2 linked regions of the Saccharomyces cerevisiae S288C genome follow. Each later gene encodes a partner of the first gene's protein in a complex. Each region holds a gene or a part of one and is shown on either strand. Other genes may lie near its edges.

The links.
Region 2: RSM25 (region 1) and MRPS5 share a complex: the UniProt entries of both Saccharomyces cerevisiae proteins name them as parts of the mitochondrial small ribosomal subunit.

The regions. Positions count from the first base shown.
Region 1 is NC_001141.2:187,398-190,797, reverse strand, and holds RSM25 (mitochondrial 37S ribosomal protein mS23 RSM25), read left to right. Parts: upstream 1-2,013; coding exon 2,014-2,808; downstream 2,809-3,400. Other genes in the region: YIL092W (uncharacterized protein), read right to left, coding at 1-1,732; LYS12 (homoisocitrate dehydrogenase), read left to right, coding at 3,166-3,400. UniProt on the Saccharomyces cerevisiae protein: Component of the mitochondrial ribosome (mitoribosome), a dedicated translation machinery responsible for the synthesis of mitochondrial genome-encoded proteins, including at least some of the essential transmembrane subunits of the mitochondrial respiratory chain.
Region 2 is NC_001134.8:719,685-722,956, reverse strand, and holds MRPS5 (mitochondrial 37S ribosomal protein uS5m MRPS5), read right to left. Parts: upstream 1,568-3,272; coding exon 644-1,567; downstream 1-643. Other genes in the region: DUT1 (bifunctional dITP/dUTP diphosphatase), read right to left, coding at 1-346; SPO23 (Spo23p), read right to left, coding at 2,353-3,272. UniProt on the Saccharomyces cerevisiae protein: Component of the mitochondrial ribosome (mitoribosome), a dedicated translation machinery responsible for the synthesis of mitochondrial genome-encoded proteins, including at least some of the essential transmembrane subunits of the mitochondrial respiratory chain.

The DNA of each region.
Region 1 (3,400 bases):
CAGGTGATCGGAGAGTCGCATTTATGGTTTCATGCGGTGATATATAATTAGAAGGACGGTCATTAAAATGTGCACTCCTCGTGCGCACAGCAAAGTTATGCAGTGGGTAGCACTTTCGAGTTTTCAAATTAAGCATTTTGCTGTCTTCGTAAATGTTTCCTGGAATATTTCTGAGGCCCGCGATACGGCTTAGCCTATTTATTTCCATAGACACTCCAGGGCTTTTGAAGCTTTCTGATGGATTTAACTTTTTCTCCTTTTCGTTTGTCATGAACGGATTAAACTGGGCAATATCTTTAACCTGGCTACTCTTGCTGATTTCATTTTTTTTTACTGGATTACTAACTGTCGCAGAGCTTGTGGGCGGAAACATATACTCTGTTGAGGAGAAGCTATTCGATATACCACTATCTAGAACGCTCCCGATCTTTGTGCCCTGAATTTCAGCGTTTTTTTGAAATATATTTGATGTTATAGGTTGTAGTGAGTTTTTCTTGACGGCGCAGCACCTCTCATTCAAAGAACGTGAGTTTCCATCCATACGTTCATCATAAGTTGTAGTTTCCTCCTTCGTGCCTAAAACTTCATCATTAATTAGGTCAATATTAATTGTGCCTGTAACCAAACTGCCGCTATTCAAAATCGATATTGGCTCCACTGCACATTGTTGAGATTTACTGTTTTTAAGATTCGTATGGAGATCGCTTAAATTGGTGTGTCCATTTTTTGATGTGTATGCATTGGCAGAAACATTCCTAGATGTAAGAATATTCTTTTCCTCATCCATGACAAGAAAGAGCCGCATTCCAGGTTCATTTTGTTTCCGACGTTTAGGATCGGGTATGTGTTGACTGTTCTTATCAAAGTAATTTTTCTTATCACTCTTTTCAATAACCTTATTCTTACTTATAGTTTTAGTATTCGATAATTTGCTAACGATAGCAGTATTCTTACTCTTTGGAGTACAAATGTCGGAATCCCTCGTATTTTTATACCGGTATTTTTTATGATTAGATGCTCTCTTCGCAAATTCACAGGCAGTTATCAATAGTGCTAAATTCAAAGTCATTGGGAATGCACAATTTTCCAGTTGCTTTTGCAACTGTGGCTCCAATTTTGTGAGGAATAGATCCAACGCAGCACCAGAAGACAGATAATATGGAGTTAGACGTCCCGATTTATGGGCAAATGCTTCTAATGACTTCTCAGAATCAATGGACAACGTCAATAGTTCCGTAAAAATTTCCCTTCTTAAAGATCTTGCTCCATCAAATTCTTCTGATAGTAGAGCAAGAAATTTTTCAAAACTGTAAGCCTTTATCACATGGTCATCGATTCCCTCCGTTGTAGAATCAAACCATGTCTTAGCCCGGCCGGATAATGCAGAGCTTATAAGAAGTTTCAAAAACGTTCCTGTACAGCATAGTCCAAATAAGATATCTGTAATATCATCGGCCCATTGGACGAATATATTGTTATCATCACCGTCTTCAGCACTGAATTTTTTCAGATGACTCACTTTATCTAGCATTTTGAACGCTTGTTCATCGTCATCAATCTGTCTTGTAACACAAAAATTATTACACGCTATGGGCAAAGTTTCGCTCCTCTTTCTACGTCCACTGTGTCCCTTCTTGCTTCGCGGCGGCAGGGTATTTCCATTAGCTATTGTATCACTATAGTTATTAGTTCCCGACTCGTATGCCATGTTTTTGGATCTCATTTGCACCATTAAGCAAAAAGAATCTGTTGAACGAGGACCCTAACCCAAGACAGCTAATATACTGCTTTTTTATGACATTTTTCATTTGGTCTTCATTCTTGCGCATCTTCTTTGAGAGTTGAAATTTCTTTGATACTTCGGCAATTACAGAAAAGTGCAAGTTACAAGCAATAAAACCAATAATATTTAGATACTGCACAAAAGTCTAAGAAAATAACCTCATTAGAAGCTTGGAAAAGGAAGAAGGACATTGCGCACCATTCAAGAAGAAGATCTTAGAATTCTGAGAAATGAAGATACAAACAAATGCTGTAAACGTCCTTCAACGGACGTCCGCTTACTTGAAATCAGGATTGTTGAAAGAAACACCTGCGTGGTACAACGTTGTAGCGTCTATCCCACCATCAACCAAGTTTACACGTGAACCTCGTTTTAAGAATCCTTCCAATGGACACATCATAGGAAAACTTGTTGACGTAACAGAACAACCGCATGCCAACAATAAGGGACTTTACAAGACAAGACCCAACTCGAGCGACAAAAGGGTGGGCGTGAAAAGGCTGTACAGGCCACCTAAACTAACATACGTTGAGGATAGGCTCAGATCGCTCTTTTACAAACAACATCCATGGGAGTTGTCGAGACCTAAGATTTTAGTGGAAAACGAAATTGGTGATGAAAACTACGATTGGAGCCATATGCTTCAGATAGGAAGACCACTCGATGGTGAAAGTGTTATCCAGCGAACTATGTACTTAATCAAAACGAAGCAGTATGGGGACATGGTCGAAGCATATGACCATGCCAGATATGAATTCTATGCGTTGAGAATGCAAGAAGAAACAGAGCAGCAAGTGGCTTTGGAAGAAGCGGAGATGTTCGGATCCCTCTTTGGAGTTTCTGCCATTGAACATGGTATACAAAAGGAACAAGAGGTCCTAGACGTCTGGGAAAAGAAGGTAGTTGAAGAAACTGAACTAATGGCAGCAAGGACAAGTAACCCTGCAGGGTCGTGGAAGGACGACACTACATTGAATACGGCGCAAGAAGAAGAATCCACCACTTCCGAGAACCTCCACTTCTAGGTGGGCTGCCTCTTTTCTCCAACGTCACCTAACCAACCTGTATATAATTAAAAACAAACGAGAACAACACATGTAGTGCTAAGTAATTGTCGTTCTCAAATTCCACCTCGATTTTTTCAACTGCACTGAAAATTCCCACTCTTTTTTTTTTTTTTTTTTTTTTTTTTCACTTTTTTCCCGTGGAAAAATATTCTTAAGATGACTCTAATTAGAGGAAAGAACAACAAGAAACTAAACTGGTTCTACAGTTATATAAGGACATCTTAACTGATTTAGAATTAGCTAAGACTGTATCTATGCGATTATTATATTAGTGCGACATATTTATATAACTAAGATAGTAACGCACTCAAAAAGATGTTTAGATCTGTTGCTACTAGATTATCTGCCTGCCGTGGGTTAGCATCTAACGCTGCTCGCAAATCACTCACTATTGGTCTTATCCCCGGTGACGGTATCGGTAAGGAAGTCATTCCTGCTGGTAAGCAAGTTTTGGAAAACCTTAACTCCAAGCACGGCCTAAGCTTCAACTTTATTGATCTCTACGCCGGTTTCCAAACATTCCAAGAAACAGGAAAGGCGTTGCCTGATG
Region 2 (3,272 bases), on another chromosome or scaffold:
TCAATTGGGCTACGCGATCACCTTTTTTGATCGCGAAATCCCTCTGTGAATGATTGAATAAAACTACTTTAACTTCACCGGTGTAATCTCTGTCGACAACACCAGCACCGGTTTGGATACCGTTTTTCACTGCCAGGCCTGACCTTGGCGCAATACGACCGTAGGTACCAACAGGTACGGTGAACGATATGTCGGTGGAAACCATACCTTGACCCATAGCCGGAATGGTAATATCCTGAGATGCATAAATGTCGTATCCCGCGGCAGTGGCAGAACCTTTGGTAGGTACAGTAGCGCTTGCTGAGCGCAATTGAATCTTTAGTACTTTGTCGCTAGTAGCAGTCATTTGGTTATTTTTTGGCTCGCTGTATCAGTGCAAACATCTCATTCGAGAACTTAGTTGTTTCTACTTATTAAATGGTAGCGCGTAATATTTTTCCTTTTATAATTTTCAATGGTAGTAAATCAGAAATTATGGAAAAAAAATAAAACTTGGACAGAAAAAAATATTGCTATGAAGAAAAATTGAATATGCTTATCAGCTCATTTGATTGAGTATGTTGAGATATTTACAGGTATTATTATTGCTGTATTTACTTATGTAAAACGAGAGATAATGGTGCGTGTGTATGTACATAGTATTTCAGCTTGAATAGTAAACTTTCCTGACATCAACAAGCTTTTTGCCTCTACCCAGGGCAACCTCATCCAATGTCTTTTGAGCTTTCGTGAAAGCCTCGATGGTACCTTTAGCTATATTCATATCGTTTCTGGATTTATATACTTTCCCACTCAGATCTTTGATACCTGCACATTCACAAATCTCAAAGATTACATGGTTTACACGTAATCCAAACCCTGGTTTTGCACTTCTTAAATGTAGTTTCACACCATGATACCTAAAATCTATATCACCATAAATAGTTCTGTTTTCATACCTAGGTATTTCCTTCAGGTTCCTTACCGCATCCCAATGAGCTTTAAAGATCGCTTTGGACATTTCTTCACGAGATTTACCTTCTCCCAAACCTACCATACCGTTTTTGTCACCAACGACAACCAAGGCATAGAAAGACGCAATTTTACCCTTCCCAGTCTGATTTGACACTCTTTTCATCACCAGCGGCTTCATAGTCAACTTTCTAGTGATATAATCCGGATCTACACCGGTTTGCTTGTGTAGCCCTGCAGCTACATCGGCGCTTTTCGATTTCCGACCACCATCGTTTGGTAAGCTGACTCCTGGAGGCAGAATGTTACCTTCGCCTGGTAATGGTTGTTGTACCTGGTCCCATCTAAAGATGCTGAAGTTATTATTCTCCTCTTGAGCGTGGAGATGGGGCATGCCTGGTTTGTAATCCCAAAAAGGATGTATTTTGGTAAAATCATCCAAATATGGTGGTGCGAATTCCACGTTACGAGATACTCTGAATTTAGTATCTTCTGGTATCGTTTGTTGAGCAAGTTTTATGGATTTTAAAAGACTTTCAGGATAGTACCTTGATAATAGCGACTCATCATAATGCTGTAGATAACGAACACTAGTCGATAATTGCCTCTTGAACATCTTTACCTATTGATCTATGAAATCTGTTTCTTGTATGGTTTACCGTCTACTTTGACAACAATAACGATAGGTCTTTTAGTGGTGCTTGTATTATTGTCTTGTCAATTCGTCTTTTTTTTTTTTTCACTTTAAGGAACTTTACTCCGCGAATAAAAGAAAGCATCACCATGTAATGAAATATATGGGATACATAAATGTATGGGATACATACGACTGTTACTTGCTACCTCATTTGGAGATCACTAGCTCAGTTGTAAAACTTTTCCATTTGATTGAATAAACTCTAACCTTTTTCATACTGGTAGTAAAAGTCAAACCTACGAAAGTTCACATAATAAGGCCTTCACGCCAAGAGAGTCTAGTGTAGTGTTCTTCAGCTCCTATTGATATACTTTTAGTGCCCAAACACGGGATGTTTCAAGTAATTTTTCCTTCTCTAATTTGACAAGGGAAAATATGGCTAGTAATTCTTGTAAAAATGTCTTCTCCTCAGAGTGGGCGGTGCTTATGTATTAGAACCGGTCGAAATATCATAATATACACCGGCCAGTAGAGAACGGACATGGCGACTTGATACATAAAATGTCTATCTCGGAAGCTGATCAACTTGTGAAGTAGTATTATAGATATCAGCGTGCAAGATACTTACAAAAAGAGAGACCTGTAAATTTATTGTTACGTAAATACATAGTAGAATAAGAAACTAATAAAAAATAGTATATGTATATCATGCAAATAAAAAAAAAAAGGATAAAATAGAGGCGTTGTTCTGAGGTACCGAACATTCATAAGCTATTCTCACCTGCTACCATAGAATATAGTGGGGGTTCATCTTGTAGATCACTAATATTTTCAAATTTTTCATATTTGGGTAACAAAGAGCTGGTCGAAATATCACTATCGCCAACTAAAATTGGAAAATTCACCGTAATACGATAATTTTTTTTCATTTCAAGCCCTTCCACCAATTCATTCCTGCTATAGGTTATTCTGAACAAAAGCAAATGAGTTACTTTGAGGGCAGCATGATTGGGATAAAATGAACTTGGTTCACAGTAGAATGTTTTAAACCAGCTCGGTAGACCATCCGCATAGGTTGGGATGACAACGTCATCAAAGCAAAATCCGAAAATGGTCTTGTCGGAATCGAAACTTTGGCTTTCTACAGTTCTTAGTAAATACTCGGACTTTTTAATGTATGGCTCTCGTAGTATTTTCTTGGTCTTCAAATCAATACTTGGTATTGCCATTCTCTGTGCAACTGCCAAAGAAGCTTCCTGTAATTCAATGGAAGAATCTGTTTTGGTAATTGATAATATCATTTGGAAAGGCATACCAATTTCAATCAACTTGGAGTTTCCAATGACCGATACTACGATCTCACTTGCAGTATTGTATGACCTTAATTGAAATGTTTCAAACTTAAGCATACTCGTTGAAGGCAGGACTCTTTTAACTTTAATTTCTTCTGTTAAAATGATCTTATCTGTAAAACTTTCATTCTTCAAAAATTTGAGTAAGTTTTTAGGTTTACTTGGTATTCTCATTATTGTTGTTAAGCTTTCTATTCGAAAATGGGTCTTGCCAAAGAAGGAAGAGAAACTTGCTGGGAAAGTATTTGCTTGAAGGGTAAAAGTGAATGGGTAATCGTACGTGCCCTTTGTCAATAGAATTTTCTTATCATTTAATGAGTGGTGTATGACTC